Oreochromis niloticus: one gene and its partners. The protein of the gene in region 1 interacts with the protein of each later gene in a biochemical or structural test. Links are inferred from orthologs where the notes say so. Each region holds a gene or a part of one and is shown on either strand. Other genes may lie near its edges.

Region 1 (7,206 bases):
CATTATTTACATGAAGGACCTGAGACTCGTCAGCCTGCAGCTTCCTGCTCTGCTATCGGTTTTGCTCAGATGAAACGCGTTGAAAACATGTCTGCATGAGCTTTCTCAGACTTTTAAACTCCTCCTCCTCTTGTGTCTGGTCTTCCTGCGCTGAGTCAGTGTCTGAGATCATTGTCTGAATGTTACAGTACATAGTATTCACTTTAATAAATACCTGCAGACATGAGAAAGCTGTAAATCTAAAACATGACTCTAAGGTGGTTTTTCCTTTTATTCAATTCTTTAAATTAAACCTGAAAGGCTGAACCTGAGGAATCACTGTCCAAATACTGACAGCTGACAGTACACCTGCTCACCGACAGGTGTCACCTGACTGCACCCCCAACCACCACACACACCTCCATCCACACCTGCTTTACTAAAACTAGATTAAGTGAGAGAGCTGGCCACCCAAACTACAGGCATCAAAATAAAAGCTGCAGGTGTCTGTGTGTGCGTGTGTGTGTGAGAGTGAGTGTGTGAGAGTGTACCCAGAGCAGGATATCCCAGGTAGAAGCGATCTGCTCCGAGCCAGCCCAGAAACAGAGACAATGCCACGGCCACTTTGTAGGAATAACCACTCCTGACAGGAAACACAGAGAGCATCAAACCACCTGAAGCTCACACACACACCAAAATCTATACAGGAGTGTGTGTGTGTCTGTGCTTGCACTGTGAATACTCACACATTCCTGCAGGGGATGGATTTGTTGAAGCCGACCTCGTCCCCGCTAAACCTGAACACCGTCCCGTTGGAGAGCCGACAGCTGATGTTTGGAGCTGGGAGGCACTCCACTGCGCATGCACGCACACGAGCACACACACGAGCACACACACACACACACACATACACTTGTTTAGATGCAGTTATGATTGTATTCACGCCATTGAGCAGCTCTGCATGATTCATGATTCGTAATAATCCTTCTTTATCTGATCCCAGCTTCAGTGCAACCCCTCAGTTCATCCTGTTTGAAAAACTCTTCTCTCTTTATACCCCACCCCCAAAATAAAGCACAGTTTCTCTTGACTGGCTGACCTGTGGAAGCCTGCTGAAGGGCAGCTCTGCAACATCTTCAGGTTTAGAGTCTGCCTGTTTTTTAAGCCACCGCCCACAAACAGAAAAAAATCTAATCTGAAGTGAGACTCACCCCACGCCGTCATGTCCCTGCAGTTCTCTGGCTCCTGAGTGGATTCGTCGATCTTTGGATCATTGCATTTATACGTGAGCAGAGTGAAGGAAGGCAAACACACTTCAGTTGGAAAACATCTGCAGCCTGTTTCTACGTGACACGGCGTAGACTGTGGTTTAGGGGCGGGGAAAAGAAGTCGATACAGCATCGTGTCAAGATACTGTCTGGATACAGGGACCCCAAATATCGATACTTCATTAAATAAATGAAAATACTCTGGAATCCTACAAACAATCTCATGCACGCCATCCTGAGATAACGTTAGCTTCCTCGCATGTACAATTAAATCAGCAGCTGCTTGCCGACTGTACAGCTGTTTTCTCTGTACCTGGTGCTGACTGTGCAGGTGTCCACAGCTTGTAGGTGTTTCACTCACAATGATCACAGGTCATCTGACGGAAAGCAACATTTCTCCAAACACTCTCAGTCTTACTGCGGTCACTCTCAGAGACTGTTGAAGGTTTGCAAATAACTGCTTTATAAATGCAGACTGATTGCCATCATGTTCCCATCAGCTGCTGAACGCAGATGTGATAATTAAACGTGAAATTCTGTCTATGGAGACAGCAACAGATGCATGATTTTCAAATTGTGACAAATCATAGTTGTAATAAACTTTGGTGAATTATCAGAGACGGACTGCATTCAGTTGCAGACTAACTTCATCTTATGGCAACATTTACGGCAGGTTTTAGTGACAGCCTTGGCTTGGTTGACAATAACTGAACTTTATCTTACTGGGTAAAACAGACACTGATAAAGGACACAGAGGTTAAAAATCACAATAACATCGTATCATTAGGTCTGACTGAACGATGAAAACAGCAGAGTGCTGCACTGAGTAAATATTCTGTGTTTATGAAACAAACTGATTCTCCTGATTCGGGTTTCTGAGCTCTCCTGACACAAGTGAACTGTTCGGTCTTCAGACTGAAGTTAAACATCAGATCGTAACTGCAAAGACAACGGAAAGCTTGTCCTCCTTTGAAACTTTAATCTGACCACACTGATCGAAAAATATCGATCAGACTGAAAAACCCTTCAGGTCCCAAACCTGTGAACACACACTGCTTTTCTATGAGAGGTGAAGCCCGCATTAAGCCACGGAACCCCCCAAAACGTCCAAATGTAACGTTTTGATCTGAATGTCACAGAGAAGCTATGGCTAACGTTAGCCGCCCCGTAACCCCGGTAATGAGGCGTTAAAGCGCGGTAAACACGGGCGGAAGGATATTGTCCGAGTCTCAGGTTCTGGCAGTTCTCCGCCTCCTCGCTCAGGACCAGCTGCAGGTGCGAATAAACGCAGTAAAATAAGAGGCTGAGCGCCCCGGAGCGCACACACAGCAGCCGCCTCCGGGAGGACGCCATGATTCCCTCAATCACGTGACAGGGCGGTACCTTCACGGACTTGCAGCATGCTGGGAACTCAGAGTGATGTAGGACCGGGAAGGCTCGGCAAACCATTTATATTTATTATTTTGGTTTTATTTGTATCGTTTTCAAATCTAATCATTTGTAACCATAAGACACATATATAAGTCTTGTTCTTGTTATAAAATCAGCTATTTAAATAAACTTAAATAAAATGCTACCAGGTAAAACAGTTTCAACCTGCTTCATGTGTGTTATTTTCTCGTTTAAGTATGGATATTTTATGTCAGACGTAGAAATAATCTATCTTCTTTATTGTGCTAAAATAATGAATGTGCTTTTAAACAGAATATGGAATTAAAAACAGTTAAACTAATGATAAGAAAACAAAATGATCCTTATATTATGCTTTTGCATTCTTAGATTGAGATTTCCTACAGCCATGAATGCGGCATTAAAGTGACGCTGGTGGCAGACTGGATCCAGTTTATGTGAGTTTCACACCAGTTTGAAACTCTGGGAATCTACGTGTTTTTCTGGCTTAAGTGTCGCTTCGTGTGCGGACTGTTTATCTGTTAGAGTGCGGACCGGAAGCGCAGTTTCTGCCGCAGTTAGCGGCTAATGCTAGCGGAGCGGAGTTCTCGAGTTCTCGGTGAGGAGAAAGAAGAGGAGGAGGAGGAGGAGAAACTCCTTTAACTCTTTACTTTATTCCCCTGATCTGAACTCCGAGGCAGACTTTGTACCTGTGTGCGTTTGTGTGTGTGTGTGTGTGTGTGTGTGAGAGAGAGAGGTGGTTAAAGTGCGGCTTTCACCTGTTGTAAACTTTGACGCACCTGCTCGCGAGCTCTGTGACGCTATGAGGTGAACCAAGGGCCAAAAGTGCAGGTTAAAATATGTACAGGTGAAAATACCGTCTGTCCGCCCCCTCCCCCTCCGCTGCTCAGTTTCACTTCCTGATTTCTCAGGTGAGCTGACAGGTGAGTGCAGCAGACCCCGCTCTGCGTCATGCTGTTTGGTTTCGGTGATGGGGGGTGGACCGTGTGTGTGTGAGGGAGAGAGAGAGAGAGAGACAATAGCTCGGCCTGGCTCGGCTCGGCTCTGATTGAGAAAATATTCCGTGCTGATATCGAAGCTCACCTGCCACACCTGGACACTGCGAGGACGGCCGTGTTAGCACGCAGGTGGGAAGTACCTGAGTACTTTCAGTACCACAGTGAAATAAGGTGTGAAGTAACTCCTTAAGTATGAGGTACAAGTTTTTAGAAAGTAGAATGGTGAAAAGTACGGTGGCCCGGAGGGCACAGTGCACGGCAGGGCGAGAACGTGCAGGTAAGGTCAGAAACGTCACTTTGTGAAATGGAAACCAGTGAACACCGTTAGGTCTGGGATACCATTACCATGGTGACTCAAAGGGACTCTTAAGGTTGCGGTCACGTGACTGCGTGCACCTGCTGTGGTGTGTTCAGGGTGTGGTGCTATGTCACACAATTCTCCGGTGCTCGTGACGGTTTTGGTGTTGATGGTACGTTCTCGGTTTCCGGTTCCGGCTGCCTGTCATAGTTTTCATCTTGTTTTTTCCTGTTTGGTGTCAAATTTCGGTGTTTACAGGCCTGTTTCATAAATCTGCTGTGTGTAGTATTTTCTTCACTCAGTACTGGTTTCTGTGGTTCTTCAGTTTGTAGTATTTGCTGTTTGTAGTATTTGGTGCCTTTTGTGTTTGGAGTTCGTAGTTTGTTATTTTTACCATCTTTACTTTATCGTTTTCAGGGATTTTCAGCATCACTTTGGTTTTTGTCTTTTTGTAGTTGATGGGGTTAGTTACGGTGCCCTCTGGCAGCTGGGATAGGCTCCACCCCCTGTGACCCTGATTTGGATAAGCAGAAAGAAATGAGCCAAAGGTGTTTGGTGGTGTTTCTGATATTATATCTTTGGTGTTCTCAATGTTGGGTCATATTTTGGCCGATTTTGGTGGGAGAAAAGGTGAGTGTGACTCACCTGAGACAGACAGTGCACAGGTGCTGACCTGCATGTTTTCCTGTGACTTCATGCAGTGTTGTTGATGACAGAGAAAGAGCGGTCAGTATGAGTCGTGCTGTGAGGTGTCAGAGCACAGGTAGCTCCACACCTGCTCGTATTTTAGTAGGTGTTTATCAGACTTGGTCCAGAGCTGAAGGAAATAAAGTTGTTCTCGGTTCTTCCTGGTTTAGGTTAGGTCCTCCAGAACAGAGGACGGCGAGAGCACAGCAGAGATGTTTGAAAATGTCCCGACAGGTAAGTCCTGACTATAACTCAAGAGAAACCATCCAATGATTCGCGTTTATCCGAGACCACGTCTCACACGCTGTTTATGTCCTCAGTGTCCTCGACGGAGCGTCAGCAGGTGCTGGCAGCTCTGGAGCGTCTGCAGGCCAAACTGGTGCAGCGGGAGGAGTGGACCCACAGCGATACCCTGGGAAACCTGCGAGAGACGCTGCAGAGCCCGCTCTTTAACCACATCCTGACTCTTCAACACTCTATCAAGCAGCTCCGCAGCCAGGTGAGCCTCACTGAGCATGCTCCGTCCTGCAAAATAGAGTGAATAGGATCGCTCTGATCCCAGCACGGATGTTTAAGGTTTACCGGTACTTCACCTGGACTGCAGGAGGCGCAGCTCAGGTGAAGGAGTTCACACAAAACAAAAGAGCCTTAAATGATGACTTTTATATTAACAGCTATTTCATGGAATATTTCATTCACAAGAATTTTATTGTTTTTATCCACAACCGTGTTTCCCTCACCTCCTTTCTCGTGATATAGATTGATATGGATGCTGTGCACTGTATGAAAGAAACAACCTCGCAACAACAAGATAAGAGAGGTTAGCTAGCAACAGGGAGCTAGCTGCAGCGACACACTTTCTATTTGTCTTCATCCCTTTACTCCACTGAGCCTGACACAGGGCTGCAAACATTACGAACATAAAGGTTTTTCATTTGTACAGTTTCTTTATGACTAACTATCATCTACTGTGATCGCCTGTAGCATTTTTTTTAAAATATCATAGCCTATTTTTTAAATGTATGTTTCGACTGGGTCCACAGTCTGAAAAGTGGACTGTAAGACGGACCCAACACACACACAATGTTTGTGCTCACAGTTCAGCTTTTATTGCCAACTTTCACATGTACAGCTATACAGTCTCTGCTCAGAGTTGGTCTCGGCACGCATGCATTTGCCTCTCACTATAAAAAGAAGAGACTGTGATTACCACCGCTACCACCTGTGGCCTCCCCAGGCACCACCCACTTGAGTTCACTGCGCCGCCCCTCCCCTGCAGCTAGGCCAGGGACCACACTGCCGCCAAAAGGACATTCTCATGTCCAGCAGGGGGCGACTCCTCATTTTGTACAAAGAAGTCTGTGAGAAAATCGGGGAACTATTTCCTGTGGCTGTAGCTCAGGAGGTAGAGCAGGTCATCTGCTGATTGGAAGGTTGGTAGTTCGATTCCTGGCTCCCCTAGTCTGCATGCCTAATATCATTGGGCAAGATCCTAACCCCCACTTGCTCATCAGAATATGAATGTATGTGAGTTAGAAAGCACTCACAAAGCATGTGTGGGTGTGTATGGGTGAATGTGGCGTGTTGTATAAAGCGCTTTGAATACTCCAGGAGAGTAGAAAAGCGCTATATAAGAATCAGTCCATCAGTCCAGTCCATGATGAATTTCAGGGCTGACTGAATCAAACATGAGGTCATTTTGGAGATTTTGGCGCTGTCAGAGTCACAGCAGGAGCAGGAAGTAGACAAGGGCGGGGCTATACTGTGATTGAGAAGTCACCACTTAATGAGTGAGCAGACTCCCTGAATTTTTCAGTCAGTTCATCTTTTATATACAGTCTCTATGTCAGGCAGACGATGCACTGCGAGATAAATCGGTCCTGACAGCTGCTATAGAGCTGGAGATGAGCAGAAGATGTCCAGAAACGCATAAACATTCCTGATTAACCCGGAAAAGAACCTGAGTTCAAGTAAAACTTCAGAAATGGAACAAAAAGCTTTCAGTTAGGTTTACTTCAGTGGGTGTTTCTCATCACATGTTCTCCATCTATCCGTGTGAGTGTTTCCCATCAGATCTGACAGGTGTAGCCCCGCCCAGGTGTTGACAGCCTATCGGGTATCAGTCCTGTGCTGCCTCCCGCCCACCGCTGTGACCCGGGCCGTCGAATCCTCTCTGCATCGCCATCTGTATTCAGCTCGCGCCTGCGCTGACGTGAGCTTTACAATAAACAATCTGCAGGCCAAATTAAGATAATGGCAATAACCCGCGGCGGGCTTCATATTCTAAGTGCTGCGAAGGTCAGAGCGAGTCTATGAATGCGCCGATGGAAGCCAGCGGAGGGTATATGAAGCGGGGACTTCTCCCTTTATTTCTGGCCCTCCCTCCCCAGCGTGCTGCAGATCTATCAGGCTTTAATATCTGGTGTCTCGGTTTGAGTAACGGCCTTGTCGAGGTGGTATTGATGAAATGGCTCGGGATCCTGCTCCGTCAGCCCGGCCTAAATAAGCCGCAGACTGATAAGTTTCCACAATGTGAGTGTAAAGGTCATTAATACATTACCTGTTC
Region 2 (7,704 bases), on another chromosome or scaffold:
GCTGGATGGCGTCAACGTGTTAACGAGCTAACCACGCTAACGCCATGCAGCCCAGAGGGGCTGCACAGCCTAAAATCCTTTCATTCTCTCAAAAGTTGACAGCGCGCCTTTTGTATGAATTCTGGTTGTGCTTGATGACCGAACCGATTTTATGTGATACACAGCGCTCAGCAATCTGTCAAAAAATGTTTTGGTACGACTTTGGTAAGCTACGGAGCTGCACCTCTTGATGGATTGTCGGAGCATTACGGCTACCAAGGAGCCTCGCGGAGTAATACGTACTGTGCTTCAAGGTAATATTACCGTATTGTGTGTGTATAAGGACCATAAATGGCACCTGTTAAGAGACGTGGTTATGCAGCTGATTTCAAACTCCAGGCTGTCAGTTACGCAGCAGAAGTTGGGAACAGAGCAGCTGTGAAATCTGTCTATGTTATTATGCTCAGCGTCTTTTAGTTTACATTCTGACTGCACAATTGTGAGCTTTTTGTTATGCACAAAAACAACATTGTTTTGGTTTATTTATGGAGCATTATTATTTAATAAATGCTCATAATTTATTTTTGAGTAGTTTTTTTCATGTACATCTATGCTGTATGTTAATAAAAGTGCCTGTGTGACATCTGGGACACAGCTTTGACTAAGAACTCTCTTTTTGTTCTTACTTTATGGCTTTAAAAAAATATCGAGATATATATCTTATATCGCCATCCAGCTAAAAAATATCGAGATATGAATTTTGGGTCATATCGCCCAGCCCTACCTGCCATGTGAGAAAACTGCTCTGGTAAGTTTTAATTCTACACCCATAGCCAGTGATGGTGCTAGTGAATTACAACTACTTCCACAAGTCATCTGTGAGGGTACATTTTAACCACTTGTGCAATTCAGAGCTGGGGGGAGAGCTGGAGCCAATGCCAGCTGTCGTAGGTTGAGAAGTGGGGTAGACCACGGACAGGTCACCAGTCCATCACAGGGCTAACACACAGAGACAGGCAATTTAGAACCTCCCATTAACCTAATGTCCATGTTTTGGACTGTGGACGCAGGTACTTTTAAAAGCAAGCTATGACAATTAAGAACAATAAAAAATAAAAAATATACATATAAAAGTAAATGTTTTTTCTTTTTTTCCCTTTACTATTCATCTTCTTCACAGACTCTCTATAATCCTTATCATTTCTTAGTGCAGCCACTATTTGCCGTTTCACATTAGAATCACTCATTTCTCTTTTTACTAATGTGTGGCACATCCCAGCTTGAGTATTTTGACCTTGGTGAATTGGGACAAAAGCTTCATTTTAAAGATTCTGGGAATCCAGAGTTTCCCGCCTTCAACTCTAAAACCTTTTGTCTGCTTACATTTACACCTACACGGTTTCACCCCCACCTCTGTGGGTCTGCACTCACTGGTTTCCCTCTCCTTTTTTCATTTTGTGTACAGACAGACAGACAGACACACACACACACACACCTGTAGCTTATATATTCTCATGCACTTCTTAAGTGTTTATACTTGATGCTTGTGTCTGTTATGCTTGTATAGTATTGGCTACAGATTTCCTTTTTAATAACAAAGTAATCACTTCATGATGTGATTTCTTTGGAAATAGAAACCTAGAGCTTATATAATTACGATTATATTTGATCGCTGCCAATTTTTTATTTTTCATTTTGTCATCTTAATTATAAATTATATCCCGAGTCATTTGTTTCACTGACATTGTGATTTTATGAGACTGTTGTGAATATGGTGGTTTTCCTACATGGTTTTTCCCCTATGAATTAATGCTACTGATAAAGAAGACAAATATAAGCCGTTAAAAACTAATACAAAGAGTTGTTTTTGACAAGAACACTTTGCACTTTAAAGTGTTTTTGTAACACCTAAAGATACACTTTGCAGTAGAGGCACATTTGTAACAGTACCTGAGTATTCCTTCTACCACTGCCCATATGATACTCTGAAGAGCAAGCACTCAGTTTGTAACCAGTAAAAAGCCTTCAAAGACAGCAGTTTGGTGAGGTTCGCATGAACAAGGTGGCCTGGAAAGGACTCAAATCCCCGGTCTGAATTACTGTTTCAGTCTACCCCTGCCACAAAGGTAGGTTGTTCTTGCACGGTGCAAAACGATGACAACGTAGAGTCACGGTTACCGTTAAAAAGGAAACGACCCTCTTAAAATGCAAAATAGAGTCATTAAATATGGCGTAGTTTGAACCTAGCTAGTTCAACCTGAGGGTAAAAGGTAAGCCAATCTAATAGGAGCAGAGTTTGGATCTACGCCCCTGGGCGACCTCGCATTCCAGAGATTCCCACACTCTAAGCTCACCTGCCTTTTCCTGCACTACTTAGCAACACGTTTTCAAGGGCATTGCCACAGTAAAGTGAGTTTTTCTACAAGAGGAAAACTAACCCCGGAGCAGTTTCCGTGCATTTACATTAGCCGGCCAAGTTTTCACCCCCACGGTTAGGCATGGCATCAAAAACAGCGCGTGAAGGTCCCTCAAAGGTGTGCGTTGTTTGCGATGATTCGGTCACAAGAAACAGATTAGGGTAGTATTAGATTCTTCCCCGCTGAGAGGAAGCCAAAAGAAGCTTGTCTTATGCCGCATGCACAGACGGAAAAAAGAGAAAGAAAAAAAGCAACCACTCTCTTTTCACTTTCCGACTTCAAGTAAGCAGCCCATACCCTCCTGCCTGCTCTGCGCACAGATGCTCTCGTTTCTCCCTGCGTATTCACTCCAATTATTTAGCAGTTTGCAAAGAAAAGAAAAGAGAAACATTTCCATACCTTGGGAGGATTGTAGTTGCGCTGGCTGAGCTGCGGCTTGGATCTACATTGGAATGTGTAACTTCATCTGTAAAGTCCTGCCTTTTAGTCCCATGCATGTGGAAGAATGAAACTCGCGTCCACACTCGAGTGAAGAAGACGACCCCTCGGCTGCTCCTCGCTTCCAACAGCAGTCCCAGGCAATGCGAGCGTGCATGACGTCAGCGGGAATGTGGGAAACCGATGTGCACTCCTGATTGGTTTCAAAGCGAATACGGGGGCGTTCCTGAAGAGGTACGCGTTGTTAAATTAACCAATGACTGAGAAGATGATAGTTACCTTGGTTACCTGTTTTGTCAACCCATACACTGTAGAAGGGAGAGAACAAGGTAAGCTAGGTGGCTCGTCGGGTATAAATACTTAGTTTACAACGCAAATAATCGCTAATTGTTGTGTGTAACTTTATTGTAGGTATAGTTTGAGCTTGGTCTTGTAGGAAACCTTTGGTTCACTTGGTTTTGGTTTTTTTTTGTAAGGTTGAGCATAGGTTCTACACAAGTACTGTCGCTAAACTATAGCAGTAGCAGCTGTGACAATGATAAAGTTAAGTGTTTTCTAGTTTAATTAAGGACTATAATAATTGGTAAAAATCGGTAAAGTAAATTAACAGAGCTTGGCTTGGAAAATATTTTAGGCTAGTTGTATGTCCATAGTTTTAACAGCAAAAAAATGACAACCTAATGATTTTTTAAAAATATTTCTTTTGTACATTTAACCCATGTGCCACCTTTTCGCCACTGGTGTTATCTTACTCCTTATGCAAATTTTGGGGGCTTCTATTAATTATTATTTAGAATAATGCTATGTGATGCAAAAATCATAAGATAATATTTTATTATTTCAAAGCGTTTGTTCAAAGCGTCAATGTATGATATTTGCAAAGTCATTTATTAGCAATAAAATCAAATGAAAGCATATAAAGAACACTTAAAATGAGTGACAATGCCATTCTTTATATCTTAACCTGTACCTGTACCGAATTTCAGTGGATGTAAAATTATTATCTCGGAGGTCTAGTGTTACCCATAAGGAAGGTAACAGCAGTGACAGTTTTCATGGAAAATGCTTTTTACAAAATAGATGCTGCAAGCATCAAACCACATGATGTCAGTCATCTTGTACTCACCAGATTATGTCATTTAATCCATTTATATTCTGTTGTTTTGGGTTTTGTTTTTTTTAACAATTTCCTAACTGTTTTGTATTAGTGACTTCAACTAAAAGCTTATTATGAAATTACGAGATAAAACAGAAAAAAATCTGATAAATGAAAAGAGACACTGGTCTCATCATGACCATTTCTTTATAGTGCTTCAGGAAATCTGTGAAAGTAAGTCAAGTGATGTCATTATTGGGATGTTTTGTTTCAAAATAATAAACTTTTCTCATAACACCAGTGACACAGTTTTAAGGGACCATGACTTTCTTTATATATCTTATAATATTTATTTCACATTTTGCTTCATTGTGTCACAGTCATCATATTTTTAACATATCTGATTGATTTGATGCATTTTAAATATAACAAAAAAAACACAGCCTTTACCCACCATACTCGACTGTGGGGACAAACGCGGTGGTGGTGCCTATTCTAATTGTAATATTGTGAAATTAAAGAATGAGGAAGGAAAAATTATTCAAATTTAACATAGAAATAAATTGTAAATAAAGTGGTTTTTAAGTGTAGTAAAAGCCAGGGACAGAAAAATTGACATTTCTAGAATGACCTATGTCTTGAATCCTAACCTTGGCTTGCCATTTGGTGTTGAAATGGAAAAAGTAATAATTTTGCTGTCCTTAAAATCGGTATTTAAGTCTATATGTAATGGAGACATGGGCAAAAAATAGACAAGGATTCAGAACAGCGCATCTGTTTTCCCTCCAATCATAGAAAAATTAATTCCTGCATAGTTCATCCCATCTCTTCACACACCATGCATTTGAAAGGAGAGGAATCCTGTGCGAAAATCTTTCCAAGCTTAATCCAAAACAAAGGCAAAAAGGAAAAAAAAAACATTCCAGCAGTATATCACACACACACTGGCTCCAGTACACTAAAACTTGTTGATGTTAACTAGCATTTTAAACAATGTCACACCAAACTTTTTTTGTAGGCAACAAAGCTGTGCATGTGTGTGCAGCGCAATAATTAATGTCTTTATTTTGAAGGTACTCTGGTGCATGAAGATAAAGCTCAATAGTGATGAGTGGAAAGGATCTACAAACATTCATAACAAGCATTAAAGCAGAAGATGTTGGTAAGTGAGTGAAAAATGGCTGGAATATTCTGGCTTCTGACATAGTGGTCTACTCAACTGTTGAACCGGTTTGACCTGAAGCCCTCATGTCGAATTCTCCAGGTGCCTTTCAAGTCTGTTGTTTTTGTCACAGGCACAGCTTGTGTTTATCCACCTGCTTCCTTGAGTCAAGCCGAAGCACTGAAAAAAAACGTCTGACACAGTTTGTCTCTGCTATCCCCCTCCTCCTGTGCAATCATTTCTTTATTACGCATACAATCCATTAGAGCTTAACTGGTGTTGCTCCTCTGTCTAACCTTTTTTTGCTGAAGTCAGCATAAAGTCTTTACTTCAGACATTAAAAGTGATGAGATTTTCAAGAATTCCAGTGATCCTAATTCATCCATATCATCTGTTTTCATCCATGCAGAAAAACTGACAGTGCGAATGAAAAATGGTCTTGGCAGCTCAAAGTACAAGCCGGCAGAATATAAAAGACTACTAGCGATTGTTGATGCCAAACGCGAGGAGACTGATCTAATTGGACAAAAGGTAACCTTTTGTTTGCACTGTCATCCCTGTGCTAATAAAAAAGCTGTGTTTTCCTAAAATAAAGTCCTGTTGCATTTAATAACACGTTGATTCAGCAGCAAATAAAGGAGTATGTGCAATAAAACCACTCATTATACATCAAAGGAAGTGTTAACTAAACAGCATGTCCTCAGTAGTAGTAAAAAGTGCAATATCTGTGTGCGTGTGTGTGTGTGTGTTTACCTTTTTCCACTCTTTCATATATGCCACACGCTGTAAAAGGATTTCATTTAGCATAAAATAGACATTGCATAATTCTTGTAGTTTGTCCAACAACATGAAAGAGAGCAGTAATATCACTGCCATACAGAATGGCATTTCTGTGAATATTCATTTGGCTTCCTGTGGGTTTTCCCACCACACTGTTTGAAGTTCATAGTCATATGATTCTGAGCTGATCAAAAAGTTAATGCTAGGGGCACTGGAGATTAGACCTGTGTTGTTTTAATTAGTAAATTGTGTCAGAAGCCTTCTAGCATCATCGTGGTAGCCCATGGCTTCTTCCAACCCTGCGCTCTGGATAACCTAGATAAGAGAGGCTATGTTCATATTGGCCCTCCTGAAAAAGCAGGCTTTTTGAACATCTCATATTGGTGATGTGATAGGGGTAAATAAATTACCATGAGTAGCCTCAAGCATGGGATCATTTTTGCTTTCTATAAATGGACTGGCAGCATTAGTAGACAGTAAACACTTGGTAGCTCTATACTACACTCTGTGCACTGTGTTACCCAATATACAGATATGTGTGTATGTAAACACTGAAAAAAGGAGTGGGAAACATATTTTTTTCAATACTGTTTTGATTACAGGTAGACATCCAACAAATGGGCATAATATTGCTACATTTTCCCTACTGATTCACCTATATTAATGTTTATGTGTTTTTGCTGAAAGACATTGACTTTATTATAAGAAAATGCATAACTGAAATATACCATGTCTCCAATATTGTGGGAGAATCCCCTGTGTGTGATTGCAAAATTATTGATCCTTTACTCATGTATGACATTTCAGAGATGATTTGTATTTCAAAATGTATTAAAAAGAGCAATAAAGAATGAAAAAATGCATAAGGAAAGGGTATATCAGAGGGCCTGCTCAGGATGGAGCTGATTTGGAGACAAAGTAAAAGAGGCAAGGTTGAGATGGTTTGGCCATGGGTAGAAGAGTGATAGTGCATGTATTAGGAAAAAGATGTTTAATATTAACTGCTAAGCTAAAGGAGAAAAGGAAGACTAAAACGAAGGTTAGTGGATGTAGTGAGAAAGGACATGCAGATAATTGGTGTGATGCAGAGGATAGGGTGGCAACACCTGAAGGGAGGAGCTGAAAAAAGAACGAGACATGGCTTGTAAATACATGTGGTTTAAGTTTAAAACCTTCAAAAAGAAAAAGATGACTTTTTACTCATTACGTATGAAAGGAAATTAAATGTACTCATACAACTATTTTTACATTGTTCACGTGGATGTCTACGAGCTGAATATACAAACCCTATTATAGAGAATTTGAGACGCTGTGTAAAATATAAATAAAAACAGAATGGAATGATTTACAAATCACATAAAACTATATTTTTTAATAACAGAAGATAGAAAATATGACATTTTAGTATTTCATGAAAAATATTAGGTTACTTGGCAACGGGTCAGTAACAGGTCAGAGAGTATAAAAAGAGATCTTAGAGAGGCAAAGTCTCTCAGACGTAAAGATAGGTTAAGGTTCACCAATCTGGAAAAAAATTGTGTCTACTAATTGTGGAAAAATTCCATAAAATTGCAAAGATTTTAAACAGCTTGTCATCTACAGTACATAGTATCACCAAAAGATTCAGAGGATGTGAAGAAATCTCTGTACACAAGTGACTAGGTTGAAGATTAATACTGGATGCCTGTGACATGCAGCACTGCATTAAAAACGGGCATGATTCTACCATGGAAATCACTGCATGGGCAAAGAAATACTTCCAGAAATCACTGCCTGTTAATGCAGTTCAGCATGTCATCCACAAAGACACGTTAAAACTCTATGATGCACAG
Region 3 (6,894 bases), about 4.2 Mb from region 1:
AAGGGAGCTGATGCACATCACTAATGACTTGTGTCCTTACATTTCTGGAAATCTTTAACAGTTATGCTTTTTCACACTAAAGGGAAGCATAACTAAGTCCATAAATGCTTCGTTTATTTTCATCTGCACTTACCATGTGATCTTTGAACCTGACTTCCATTTCCTACTGGGATTTCACCCTGAACAAAACACCTGCTGCCTCCAGCGCTCAGCAAACAGCCAGCTCTTTATATCCCATATGGAGCCGGCAACAGAAAAACAATCACAGATCCAGTAATCTCAGGTTACTTCTCCCGCCAGTGAGCTCTGCATGGATGGTGGCTGAAACTAGATCCTGGCGCTGAAATAAATTGTAATATGACCAGCTGGGGTGTTTGTCTCACACAAGGCAGAGAGACTGAAAGACCTCACCTGGAAAGCGCTCCTCCCCTCTGAGTCTTTGCCCACTCTGAGAGTCATTCTCTAGTGTCCTTTAATAAACATGGCTTTTAAGGTGGATCTGCTCTGCCTTAAACCCAGCTGAACTAGGGAGAACTGGGAAGCACCTTAAATATGTCAGGTAGTGTAATCACTCCCTTGTGTGTTTGTATAGCTTTGAATATTTAGGCTAAGAACTACAAAGCTCAAAGTTTTGTCATTTCAAGGCAGAAAAATATTATTTAGCGCTAAATAACAGACAGTCACTGCTTGGTCGGGAGTTTTTAAGGGTGTGTTCACATGATTGTTAATATTATTGCACATACAGTAATTAATATCAGTCTGTTATTTCATCTAAAATATCAATTATGGTTAAATAAATTAGACTGAAATTAAGAAAGAGTTTGTTTGCTTTTTATACCTTGGAGCAGTGTCACAAACCACTTCTCGGGGCAGTAAAAATAAATTTCTCTATGTGGGGAAAAACCTTGTTTCAGTAGAAGTTTGCATAAAATATGCAGAGATTTGAATTGCAAAGTTTTAGACATGTCTCCTTCAACACGTCATATCCAGAGATATGACGTGTCTCTCTTCCTATTCTCTTTTTACAAAATAATTATTTTAGATGCTGATGGAAGACTGAGACTAAAATATCTATATACTACTGCAGGGTGTAGGCTTCGTTTCAATATCAAAAGAGGTTAAGAGGTTTAAACTAACTATAAGAAAAGGTCTCAGCACAATCAGTTCAAGGAAAAAAAATATGCCTCTAAAAGCTACTTGTGGTCAGGCGTTCCAATTAAGACATGAAATTGTAAATGTGTGTTACAAAAAGGACTCCTCCTCATAAATAAAAATAAACAATGACATGAGAAGTATGTTCTGTCAGTTATGGCTTTATCACAGCAACTTCCACAGGGCTGTATGGGAAGAATCATAGATTCGTATGATATGATGATGGCTATCTACATAACCGTCTCCATGTTAATCTGTCCACAATAAAACAGGAAGAAATTTAAGGAGGTCCCTTAGGAGTACGCTTCCTGAGAAGATCATACCAAGAGCATGACGCGTACTTCTGAAAGAGGCGAAAGAGAGCGCAACGATAAAAGCACATCAGAACCAATGTTCATTTTGTCGACTACAAGAAAAGCCCTAATAAAGAGCAGCTTTGGAGGAAGGATGGATGTCCACAACACTTCTGTGACAGAGGAGGAAAATCCACAGGTATCTTTAGAGAAAGTTTTGTTGTTTTTGTGCGCTGCCTGTTATTTTTTTTCCTCCAAACTGTGAAGCGTAACAGAAGGAGCCTCAGGCTTCAGGGCCTTCTTTTTATACCTTCGGGTGTGGGCTCGGTGAAGGAGCAAAGAATTGTGTCACAAGGAAATCAGCGACAGAGGGATTGAAATAGAAGAAAAACAATGCTTCAATGTTCAGAATCTTTGACCTTAGTGAGATGACCTAACGAGGCCTGTTCTATAAATATATCCCAGATTCTTTGAAGTGAAAATGAATTCCTTCTTACACCGAACTGTGGAAAAAGCTTGCTATGGAGCACGCGTAGATAAACAAAGGTTTTACAAGTCACTAAGTTAACAAGCTCACCTACTTTTTGCCAAGTTGAACTGTCACTGAGTCAGTGTGTTCAATAAAGAATACATTTTCCACAACTTTGACACATTTGATGAACAAGACATGAAGAAATTCTGCTGATTTAAAACACTTCACAAACCTTTTCTTTAACTGTAAATCGAAACCTTTCAACTAACTGTTCAACAAAAATAAAGAAATATAAATAAAGTTCTGTGGATTCAAATAAAGGATGATATTTAACAGAGTGTGGGGGGGGGGGGGGGGGAAGTAACCTGTGAAGTTCTCTTAAAGCTGACGTTAATATAATGCTGCTTGGTTACTGTAATAGGAAAAAGGAAGTACAGACAAATAAAATAACTACTATCCATTCACTTACGGGCACCACCAGCAGCGGCGGAGGCTCCGGAGGCACAGAGCCCAAGTGCTTCAGTCGTTTGAGTCGCTCTGTCAACTTCATAATGATAACAGTGCTGACCCACTCATTCACAGACACCAAAAATCTCCAGCTGTCTGCAAATCTGTTAATAATCCCGTGTCTGTGTCTCAGTCACACATGGTCACTGATGCAGGTCTGCAAGCCTCTTCACGAAAAACACAAATTTGCCATAAAAAAAAAGAAAACTATGAAAAACAGAAGTTTAAAAATTAAAAGTAAATAAAAGTAGCAACTGTCATCCCTCTGCTTCCAATGGAGAAGTCATGCGAAGAGCGCTCCATAGGTCCGTGTGCCCAATAGTTCCCTTTGTGACAGGCTCATAAAGTCAAACAGGTCCACTTGCTCCCGCTGTCAGTGGTATGTGTGCGTCTTACTTTCCCACAAGGCAGGAGCAGATCCCAGGCTGCTGGCTGAGTTTCTGTCTGCTCGGTGCCATGGTTACGTGGGAAGAATGAGAGCACTGGCCTGTTAATAATTGACGGGGTGTTTGCTACACTATGGATCTTCCAGCTTCGGGTAAGTGTCCTGATGTGCCTACACAGGCTGTGTCCCGGGATCAGGAAATGGCAACAGAGAGCCCGATGTTATCTCTGTTCCATGGTTAACATTTACATATGCCCCACAGCATGGGCGTGTTGCAGCCTTTTTTTTCCCCTTTTTTAGTGTTCAGTGTGACATGTACCCAAATCATTGAGGAGGACGGGGGACAAAGAGGAGGTGAAGCTACATGCTTGAAGAAAACACTATCCAACAGCTTATTACTTCCTAAATCCCTCATCCACAGATCAGTGTCTGTATTATAAAACTTGAGAAACAAAACAGATGTTAGATGCCAACTTGGGTTCAGCCAGGTGGAAGAGCCAGCCTGAGGTCAGCGAGAGCACCAGGTGTGAATTATTAATTGATCTTAATAAACAGACTTCTACGGTTGCTAAAAAAACAAACAGGTAGCAAAGGTAAAACCATTCATAGTAGGTAAATATTCACTCATTCACGCCGAGGACTGCAGTGTGCTCGGCAGCAGGATACTCTGTTTGTTTTGCTTTCATAGAGAGGCCACTCCTGTTGGCTATTCAATATGCAAACTGCTGACTATCGACTCCAGGTCACCTTGTTGCGCTTGAGTTTCACTATGAATGGAGAGGCCTGCTTTAAGTGTTGAGCATAACTAAAATACTTCAACGGTGCATCATCGAAACAAACTAACAAACGCCAACCGACGGAGCCAAGAAGGCTCCAGTATACGAGTTCGGTGGGGAATGTGGAAAAGCAAAGCCTCCTTGTGTAAATATAGAGCTTTGTGGAACAAATACTCCAGAGGTTTACACAATCAGCAAAGAGGCTGTAATTACACAGGCCAGGGCTTTGTGGCTTCCACACTCAGTGGACTTACTTGTGTTGTCTTGTGTGCTAAGTGCTGCAAACACCCACTTTACAGCTATCCCAGCGCCATAACATGAGTTATACCACACGTGCTCAGCCCCTTATGCATGAGGATGCAAATGGTCACACGTGTATGGTGGATGGTTGCTCCATCACGGCAAAAACTATTGAGGTCATGATTATTTAACGAACACGTCCATTGCAGTTTCCTCGAACCAAACTCAAGGTGAATAAGTGGTTTAGAAAAAAAGAAAGAAGAAGAGGGCTGTGCTGCTTGATTTTATCATGGAAGCCAAAATTGGAAAGAAAAAGGAAGTTCCTTTAGTTAAAGACGGAAAAATGAAGTGTGAAATGTGAGCAATGCTGGTGGTGTCACTGGAATTATATGCACGACTGCTAAAGTCCTGCACTGCTGGACGGCGGTGGAGATGACGATGTGGGATGTTGCATAATACCTCACACGTTAAGTAAGATATGCTACGAGAGGTATTTTCTCTTTAACCTTCAAGTCAAGACTGAGCAGCGTCACTTGTGACCCCAGCTGTATTTAAATATAGAGTCATTTAGAACTGGAATTATACAGTATGCCATCTTAAAAAAAAATATTAGGATTTAAACATGTTGATTTTAGTGATATTTGCTAGCAATTAGATTCAAGATTCAAAGACTCCCAGATTTTTTGTACATGTCATACCGACAAAGAGAAAGACAGTGTCTCTCTCACCTTAATATAAAAATATATAAGAAATATAAATATAAAATGTATATAAAAATTAAATCTATGGACAAGAGTGGCAACGGTGCAGGATGTAAATTATTCCAACTCATTGTAAAAGTGCAAAATATCAGATATTTCAGAGCTAGATATTTGAACCCTTTCTACACAAAACACACTTTACATATTACACATATACAAATAAAATGCTACTTTAGGTTTTATTTTAACCAGAAGCAAAACAAAACCTGACTGTTTAATTAAATTTTTATTATAAGTGCTATGCCACAACAGCAGTCACTTCAAGATGCTTTATATTGTGAAGTAAAGATCAGACAACAACCTATAAGCAAGCACTTGATGACAGCGGGAAGGAAAAATTCATCTTTAACAGGAAGAAATCTCCTGAGAAAGAAAAAGGAGTGAAAAAGGAGAATAGAGAGAGGCGAGGACAAACAGCCTATGGGAGAGAAGACAAAGGTAACGACATGCAGTAGCAGCATATAAACACATGGGCAGTGAGAGGTGAGTGGAGAAGAAATGTAGCCTAAGGAGCATGACCAAGGGATGGTTCAGGGTCAGCTCATGATAAGGGTTCTCAAAAAGCAACATTTACAAAAGTAGAGAAGGTATCTGTCTCCCGGATCCAAACTGGAGACTGGCCTGAAAGCTGAAGGCTCCGCCTCCAATTCTAATTTTGGAAATTCTAGGAATCCCAAGCAAGTCAGCAGTTTGAGAGTAAAGTGGGGAGGATATGATACTACTACTTTTTTTTTTTTTTTTTAAATAAGGAGAAGAATTTTGAATTTAAATTCTAGATTTTATAGGCAGCCAGAGAAGAGAAACCAAGGAACTGAGATATATGACCTCTAGTTCGATTCTTTGTTGGATATTATAATATCTTTATAATAATAATTGTTGTTAAAGTCACCCAGCTTATCTCGAATCCAACCTTTAGTTTTTATTTGCATTTTGTTCTGTCGTATGAAAGAAAAAAGTTTTGGTTTGTAAGAAATGTAATATTTCTTGTACACACGTTGCACAAGTTTAGAAAATGGGTAATAGATAAAGCAAACCATATACGTCTGATAAACTCAATCAGTACCACAAAGTACCCTGTATTTTTCAAAGAGCTGGGAACTGGACACATTTACAGCTGTCCTTAGAGTGAGCAACTTTTTGACAAAGTATGAAACCCTGTTTAAATGATGACTGCAAAAAAGTTAATACTACAGCAGTGAAAATAGATGGGAGGAAGAGCAAACACTATCACATCTGGAGAGACTGAGACTTCTTAACTATAACAAACTCCATATATCTGATATATCTGGGATAATGTACCAGCACTTTCTCAATGGGAAAAACAAGTATGCAGTGTGTGTTTTGCTCTTTTAATGTTGTATCAGGGATTTTGTGGCCATTGTTGTCAGATGCGTGTGGGCGTTTCTCGGTTTAAAAGTAGTGTGATCATAAATGACCACACTCTGCTATTTTAGCTGGTAAAATCTACATTGCTTGAGGGTTAATATCTTTAAGTGTACACGTCCACATTCTGGGAAATGGACGCCACACATGTATTTATTTTACTGGAATAAACCAGCAGGCTAAACTTTTTCCCCTTTTATTTGAATTGAACTAAGCTACAGCTGCGATGACAGAAACCTTCAGCACATCTAAACATTAAAACCTGGATTAACTTTTAAAAATCCAGAAAGGACGAGTCACAATCTTAAAAGCACCTCATGTGCAGTAGGGAACTTAGGAGAACAGCAGTCTTAATCGACAGTGTTAGTCCCAAATCAAACAATGAGTGTGTAAATATGCCGACTGTGGAGAGGAGGACGCAGCAGGTTGGGAATGCAGTCGAAACTATTGTGAAACTCCAGTTCCGGACAGGTAGAAACTTGTATGTGTTGCCGAACCAGTAAGGTGAGGAATAAAAAGTGGAGTTTACAGCTGACAGTCAGCATCCCAGCAATACAGACAAGCACACAAATAAAGGCAAGCACGTTAAACTGTGAGGGAACTCCAACAAAAACACACAAAATGACTAAGGAGAAAACCACAACTGTCACACAGGCCTGTGAGGACTGCAGTCAAGCAGCGACAAAGCTTTCAGTCCGGTAAACATCCAACTAACTTCACCTAAAGTGAGAAAAACCACAGAAAAAAACTTCTTTGACTCAGTGTTATGTCACACATGATCCTTCAGCTTCACCTTTCACTCCAGAGGCTGAGTTGAGATGGTTTGATTACCTGTGCAGGAGGAAGGAAACACCGACAGAAACGACGCTAACTCACCTGTAAACGTGCTCTTCGTAGCTTCAAGGCTTCTTCCTTCACTCTCAGA
Region 4 (7,679 bases), on another chromosome or scaffold:
CTCTAAAATCAGATATCTGCATATGAAGATGCTGATTCTGAAAGCAAGACACAAGATTATCGCTACAGGAAACATTCTGATTTGCACTGATAGTAAATCTGTGCAATCACATTTCAGAAGGTTTTGGTAGCATGCAAGTAAATCATGTGAGGGAAGAGCTAAAGAGATAATATGTTGCAATTAATCATGACAACGGATGGAGTTTCATGGAGAGTTGTATGTAACACAGTAGCACTCTCAAACTTTTTGCTAATGTAGTTACAAAATACTGCACTCCCGTAAGGCTACACACAAGCTACTGTGCAGTAAGACTTGGTTACCCTTACTCACACCAGATTTTTACACCAAGGCTTTCAGAACCCATCCGGTAGGCTCACATACGGAGTCCTGAACCCTACAAGCCGCTAAAAATCTGGCTTTCCTGTTGGAACCATGGACTGGGTCCTTTCAATAGGACAAAACCATTATCCTTATTATCAGCACCAGCTCAGTGTGTGCTGTCTGTCAGGTCACTGGCTCCAGTAACCTTCCCTCCTCAGCCATAACAATACGACTCTGATGCCAGCATCTGTTATAAGCCAACTGGCTGAGGACCATGGGAACCAGGCTCTGCAGAGAGTGGGAAGCAAACTCTTGAGGGACTTTCAATAAGATGACTGCCCTGCAATTCAAACACCTCATAACAGACAATTGGGGTAGTTCTAGCCTTGGCACAGAGGCATGCAAATCCTCTCTAATGGTTTCATAATCAGCGTAAAATTGCCTGAAATTATGTTGGAAAGTTAATACAGAGCATATTCCCGTTAACTGACCATCAGCATGATTGTCAGCAGCAAAGCCTGTCCCACCTGTTGAGTCTGAAATGGGGGGGGGGAAAAATCAACACTAGAGAGGCAAAGTGCCCTCAGAGCTAAAATGAAACAAGCAGCTGAGTGGAGGAAATAGCAAATGTTGTGGCAGCTTCTTTCAAGGCTGAATGCCTGAAGGCTTTAAGGTTATGAAGATTTTATCGGAGACAGTGATCAGAGAGCATGTTGAATCTATGACTTCACATGCGATCGACGATCAAAGCTTCATCCTGACATTTACAAGCAATTTCCGAGGAGGTGAAAACAAAAACTGGAACTTTGATTTTCAAAGCACCTGGCTTAGTTACAGGAGGATTCCTCCACTGGAAATATGCTGAAAGCAGCAGAACTCATATCCAGCCAGTGGTCAAACTTCAATGACTCAATTTATGTGGGTGGAAAAGATTACAGTCCTTTAGCCTTAGGCCTACAGCTATATCTGGATTTGGTTTTGCTTTCAAAACCACCACATCCAATCAGAAAATACAGAGCATTAGCATCAAACAAGACCACACAGTCATAAGAAAAGTAATGACCTTTCTGGAATCATCTGTGTCCTAATAAGCAGGACAATACAATTATCACCGTTCTTCCCGAGCAAGCTGATAACAGACACTAACCACTATATGAAACTTTCAGACATGCAGTCTAAAAAATAAACACAATCCACTGAACAGTGATATGAGTTGATCTTATCACTGGAAATCTCTATGAATAGAACCCTGAATTCAAGTGTTCCTCCTCCCTCCATCTTTTTTTAATGCCCATGAGCCTTTTCCTCTAAAAGGGGAAAATAACGTTGACTGTGCATAAGATGATGCGCTGTATTTTATTGCTCACAGTCTTTACACAACACACCGATGGCCACATCTGGTCCATAGCTACCCTCACCTCACTTCTTATCGGATTACTGGTGATTAAGTAATTTAGGTCACTTCAATACTGTGTAGCATGCGAATCTGCACCAATTAAATCTTAAATTCCAAATATTTATTTTCATTTCACATTTTATCGACTATACAGAAACTCTGCAATGGTCTTTCTTCACCTTCAATGAATAGTCCAACTCTGAAATGAGTTTTTCCCAGTTATTCTGACACACATATGGGCAGTTGGATGATTTTCCCCAGTGGATGAATTTTATCTGCTGTATCCCATTAATTCTGCAGTCCTTACATCTAGTTTCCCATTCCTTATATATTTGCATGACTGACTTTAAGGATTATTATACCAGGGATCCACCCATATATCAACTGAACACACCATGTGGTGTGGACCAAGGCCATCCCATCCCTGACTCATACTGTATTTCATTCAAAGCCTTAGAATGACACCAGAAAAGTTTAAAATGCTTAGACATGATAAAACCTGCCTGGAAAGTGATGCTTTTCCTACCTTTCTATAATTCTCTTCACACGAAAACAGGAATAAACAACAACTACTACTTACTGAAAACTGTGCTCAGAATTTTGCAATGCAGAGGTTTTTGTAGATGAGGCCATTTTAAAAATTATTGCCATCGACTAATCGATTAAATGGCCACCTCGACGTGTTTATGAAACAAATCTTTTTAATTACTTTGATTAAAGTTACTTCAGTTACTTTAAAGTTGCTTCCTTTGATTTTAACATCCAAATGAATGGAAACTTTACCTGCTAAAAAAAAAAGCGATTTTTTTAACCCACTAACCGAACAACTTCCCTTAAAGTTGACCTAATTTAGCATCTCAGTAACGTAAAGTAAAAGCAGCAGAGAAACCAACTCGAACAAAGAGGCTGGATGTGTGTGTGCAACTGAAAATAAAAATCCCAATGACTGCTGTCAGTCCCGTTGGTTTTGAAGACTGCTCAATGGGCATGTCCCGACATTCCTCCCAACAAACTGCCACTAAAACTCTCACGCTTTAACACTACTTCTCCCAACTGGTGAACAAACTAACAACAACAACGACCACACAAACGATCTGTGAATACGCTTTAAATCTTACCTGATAAATGTCATGGATATTAAAGTCCTAAAAGTTTCACCAGCACTCTGAGCGTATCTCCACACGAGTTCAGTCCCCACTTGCTCCACCAAGGTAGGCTACGGGACGTCGGACTCCTCCTTCTCTCGCATGAGGTCATCTGTGGGAAGGATCAGCAGCGGAGAACAAACCAGATCTACCCCTCCTTCCTCCTCCCTCCTCCTCCGCTTCTTTTCTTCTGCTCTCATGCTGTGTGCATGCCTCATGGACATGACAGGATGCTAGAGATACAAGCTGCAAGCATTTAGTTTAAGGAGTGTGAAATTCTCTAAAACTTCAAATTTTTCTTTTTCTGGATGCTCCCTTCAGAGGTCGCCACAGCGGATCATATGCCTCCATCTCACCCTATCAATTGGGTCCTCTTCTGTCACACCAAACTTTTGCATATCCTCTTTCTCTAGATACACGCTCCTCCTGCCAAGCAGCTCTATCTTCAATATCCTTTGTCTACTATATCCACCATCCCTCCTCTGCACATGCCCAAACCATCTTCTGCCTCTCTAACTTTGTCTTAAAAGTCTTAAAAGCACCTTCTTAGTCAGCTGGATGCAGGTTTTTCCCATCCTTATAAAGAGTACAGTTGCACAATGCCAAAATTAGCACCACTGCCTAACACTGAGGCCCGAGCTCAGTTTAATGATTGGTTGGAGAAACTTGCAGTCTTGGATGGGAGGTGAATCCAGAGGAAGTGAATCAGCTGTCTGTGTTTTCTTCCAGAAGCCTTCTGGGAATATGTAGAAAGAAGAGAACTGAAAATGAAACTTTAAGGTGCTTAAGTGAAATTAAATCGTGTGATGAAGTTGGAAACATAGAGAGGGTAGCGAATGGACCTTGGACTGAGATTAGTTTTCCATACAAAGGTATTTGTGTTCCAAAATCTGCCGAAGCTCTTTCCACATTGCCAGGAATAAATCTGTTGTAGAATATTGAAGAATCCATTATTTATTTAGGTGGACCAAAAGTTGCAGAACCTAAAATGCTGCAATCAAGCCAAAAGTGTCCAGTGAATATCAGCTGAAGCTTGCCTCGCTGTCCACAACATTTTGCTCAATCACTGTTACTGTGTATAGCTATTGTATTCTTACAAGCTACGCTTTAGACATCTTCAGGGTGGTCTTTTCTTTTTCATATAATTGGAAGAAAAGCAATAATAGGATGCTTTGGTCTATGTTGTATACAGTCTTTAACAGTTTCTGACAATTTTATATACTAATATATATATTACTATATTAACATACTTACTTGTTTCAGATCCTAAATTGAGTTTTACTCTGCACTGATAACTGATTGCAGCTATGTGCTACTTTGCAGATGTCGATTTTACATGTGAACATTAAACTGTCTGTAAAATATATGCATGGCCTCATTAATCCTTCCAAGAACATAAAGAGTAACATGGCACCAGATGGACTGGCTGCTGCACCAACACACTGCTTTGCATTAATGCTTTCTGGTCATCCTTTTTCAGCAACAATCTTCACTCTGGGCACATGTAGGCAATTTAAAATCTCCAAACTTTCATAGTCAACTGATAGCTAAATACATTAAATTGCCAGTTGTCTCACTGTTTGCAAACTTAGCAAGTAGGCTGTGTAATTTCCTCCTCGACGATGTGCATTAGAAGGAGGGAAGTTGAAAGATGAGTCAGAGCTTTTATGTAAATGAAGTCTAATTGGTTTAGGTCTGTATTAGTGGCTGCTGAAAGCAGGATGTTGCTCATTAGCTTTGTGCATACTGCTGAATCATAGTTTGACCATAAACCTGTTGACTTTAACATTTTAATGTTACAGCTTGATCGAAATGCTAGTTTTACATATAGTAATAAATATAAAGTATTTCATGAACTACAGCACATGTGTCAAATTAGGTTACTGGATCATTGCAATTAGATCCGGAGTAGGGTTTTCCACATGGTTTGATTCAGTTCGGTGCGGCAAATGAAGTTCGTAGTGCACCTTAGTCTATGGTGACCTCATGAGGTAACATTGGTTTATGCAGCTTGTTCTGAGGGAAAATCTTAATGTCAGTGTAATCTTGCAAAAGTTTTTTTTTTTTAACTCCAATTCTTTATCGTTAACAGCAAGAATATAAAGCGATATGATGATGATTGTTCTACATTGTGCTGAGGTGACAAGAGTCTGCTGTGAAAAAGGCATAATCAGAAATCTTAGTTTTGGTGGAAAACGGAGTCTTACATAAAAAATCTTTACATTGTGATATTTCCTGCATTTTGCACTAAAAAATACTTTGTGTGTATTATTATCCTGCAGTTATGATGATATATTTTGTGAAGGAACATGGACAGTGGCACTCATATTTCTTCCAGTAAAAAAAGAAAGATAAAACACCTATTTTCCGAGTTTGTTTTTTGTTGTTGTTGTTGATGCTCTCGGGTGAAACTGGTTCAGCAACTGAATGAGTGAAAGTCTTCAGTGGTTATGAGTTCACGATTCCCTTGGAAACTGCTGTAATGTGCAGATTCCAATAAGACCTGAAAAATAGACTCAGACTTCATCTGATGCACTGAGCATTTCTTCTCCACTCATCTCGTTGCACTCCCCCTGTGTTTAAACACCACTGCAGCATGTCATTCAAATGTTGTCTTCTCCCCCCGCTAGACTGCGTTTTGTCCCGTCACCCTCCAACCAGTCACGGCAGATGGCTGCCCCTCCATGGGCCTGGTTCTGCTGGAGGTTTCTTCCTGTTTAAAGGGATTTTTTCCTTCCCACCGTCACAAAGTGGGTCACTTGATTGCCGTTTACTCCAGAACATTGTAAGGATTTTGCCTTAGAGGACAAAGCACCAGGTGACTTTTGTGATTTTGCACTATAGAAATAAACCTGCATGGAACTGAAAATATCTAGCAACAAATACATCAATTAAGTCATTTTGGTTTTCTGACATGAATCCACACAAATTTCTGTCATTCTTGTGTGTGCTCAGCATGCAGTACTCTGGCTGAGAGAGATTTCTTTACAGTTTTTATTTTATCCAATCTGTTTCAAACTCCTGTTTGACCATCTGTCTCTTGCAGCTCATCCTGAGGAGCAGAAAGTGGAAAGCAGATTAGTTTGTTTTCTTCAGCTTTCTCTTTCTCTCCATCTACCTTGTGTAACATGGCACCTGCAGTTTGAGTTTACTAGCCTGCATTCAAGAGGCATCCCTGAAAATGATTAAAACTCAGTAGTCACAGCACCTGTCTGGTTCATCTTGCACAGAGGTGACCTGTAGCACAGCCTTGACACTAAAAACAATAACACTTCTGCAATCCCTTTTGACTTTCACTTTCCAGACACGTGGAGGTTTTTCTGGTTTCTGCAATTTATCCAACATATTAAAAGAAAGAAAAATGGTCAAGATATAGATTATGGACAGGCTCTGAATGGAATTGGGGGCAAAACGTTCTAAAGCAAAGATCAGCTCCGTGAATCCTACAAGACCAAGCGAGCTTTTATGGAAGAGTTTTCTTTTTCCTTTCATCCATCTCACTGTTTAACTATGACTCACTGCACACACATATTGGGATAATTAAAATAGTTTGGCTACATAGAGGGTGGACTTGCTGGAACATTACGATATCAAGGTTCAGTCACTACATGAAAGAGGCCAGATGGATAAAAGTAAGCATATATTATAAGTAAAAAGTAAGTAAATAATTATAAATAAGCATATATATTGCATAGATGCACGCATCTTAGAGATTGACTTCATCCATGACCACAGTCTGGTTTATTAAAGTTACAAATGGCCATTTGCTGCCCCCTTGTGGCCATTTTAGAGTGTATGAACAGAAAACAGTTCCAAGAAATAAACAGAGACATAACACAGTGATGGCTTGCAGTCCCCTTTTTTTTAATAAATCTAATACAATTGCCATGCAATACAAAGTGAAGATTCCCCTTAAAAGCACCCCCATATACTTCCCTCAGTAACTTAACCCCTCCCTTCAAACATACTCATACCCACCAAATGGTTTTGTTTTCCAATCAGATGACAAATACAAATATAGAATTCTACTATAATGCCAGAAAAGATGCATTAAGTGCTGGTTTATAGTATTCACATACAAGCATGGCCCCAAAGAGCTTTTTTTTTTTCTTCCTTCTAAGTAAACAAAGCTTGAAAGCTTTCACTCTATCAACACTTTACAGGCAACCTGTCAGTCTCAGTCTCCTCACGTGCCTAACACTTCACATTGGTGTTTAACGGCTGACTAAACATGGTTCCCTCTAGGGCACGCCCGAAGAAGTTCAATACTTCCTCGGCTGCTGGATGAAAACGACCCGAGGGGAGTGCAACTTCTCCACCGCGGGGCGCACCTTACTGTGCCTCACGCTCACAGGTGTTTCTGGGAAGTCGTGGCTCAGCTGCAAAACATCAGGAAGGAGGTTTATTATCCACAATACTTTGAAGCACTGCAAATAACCCAGTTGGCTCGGAAAGGAATTAACTGGCTTTTTTAAGAGTTAACGCTTTGTTTACCTTGTCAAGGGTTCCTGTTAGAAGTATGCCAACTTGTTGCATCCTGTTGGGGGTGGCAAGGGACCTGCTGCACAGGTTTTAAAACAGAGTTATACTCAGCTTTAAAGCAAAGTTAGTGACCTATATGATGGAAATCCTGCTGGGCATTCTTATTTGTTAAATTTGTTTTCAGCTCAAGCACATTTACTGCACAGTGTGAGCATACCTGATTTTATCAGACTTCTTGGTGTCCTTTTCTGGAGTTGCATGGGTGGGATTCTCTTCCATGCCTTTCTTGGCCACCCGTTTACCCCCGGCCTTTACTAGTGATGCAAAAGAGGAAA

Evidence for each region.
Region 2: the proteins of patj (region 1) and plakophilin-4 interact in a test that uses a peptide from one of them, tested with the Homo sapiens proteins (2 studies listed by IntAct, with this or other methods). The link is inferred for Oreochromis niloticus from reciprocal best matches to the Homo sapiens genes PATJ and PKP4.
Region 3: the proteins of patj (region 1) and tjp3 form a complex in vitro, tested with the Homo sapiens proteins (2 studies listed by BioGRID and IntAct, with this or other methods). The link is inferred for Oreochromis niloticus from reciprocal best matches to the Homo sapiens genes PATJ and TJP3.
Region 4: the proteins of patj (region 1) and tanc1b interact in a test that uses a peptide from one of them, tested with the Homo sapiens proteins (2 studies listed by IntAct, with this or other methods). The link is inferred for Oreochromis niloticus from reciprocal best matches to the Homo sapiens genes PATJ and TANC1.

The regions. Positions count from the first base shown.
Region 1 is NC_031986.2:35,734,156-35,741,361, forward strand, and holds the start of patj (inaD-like protein), read left to right. Parts: upstream 1-4,187; 5' UTR 4,188-4,490; coding exon 4,491-4,583; intron 4,584-4,654; coding exon of another isoform or gene 4,655-4,679; intron 4,680-4,809; exon of another isoform or gene 4,810-4,810; coding exon 4,811-4,874; intron 4,875-4,960; coding exon 4,961-5,139; intron 5,140-7,206. Other genes in the region: tm2d1 (TM2 domain-containing protein 1), read right to left, coding at 531-622, 726-834, 1,191-1,264, 2,467-2,600.
Region 2 is NC_031987.2:14,968,498-14,976,201, reverse strand, and holds the start of plakophilin-4, read right to left. Parts: upstream 3,007-7,704; 5' UTR 2,796-3,006; intron 2,106-2,795; exon of another isoform or gene 2,084-2,105; intron 1-2,083. Other genes in the region: coiled-coil domain-containing protein 148, read left to right, coding at 5,038-5,092, 5,502-5,623. UniProt on the Homo sapiens protein: Plays a role as a regulator of Rho activity during cytokinesis. May play a role in junctional plaques.
Region 3 is NC_031986.2:39,936,117-39,943,010, forward strand, and holds the start of tjp3 (tight junction protein ZO-3), read right to left. Parts: upstream 3,001-6,894; 5' UTR 2,468-3,000; coding exon 2,387-2,467; intron 457-2,386; exon of another isoform or gene 412-456; intron 406-411; exon of another isoform or gene 161-405; coding exon of another isoform or gene 134-160; intron 1-133. UniProt on the Homo sapiens protein: TJP1, TJP2, and TJP3 are closely related scaffolding proteins that link tight junction (TJ) transmembrane proteins such as claudins, junctional adhesion molecules, and occludin to the actin cytoskeleton.
Region 4 is NC_031987.2:15,065,704-15,073,382, reverse strand, and holds the start of tanc1b (protein TANC1), read right to left. Parts: upstream 3,012-7,679; 5' UTR 2,836-3,011; intron 1-2,835. Other genes in the region: dap1b (death-associated protein-like 1 homolog), read right to left, coding at 7,125-7,241, 7,357-7,423, 7,562-7,658. UniProt on the Homo sapiens protein: May be a scaffold component in the postsynaptic density.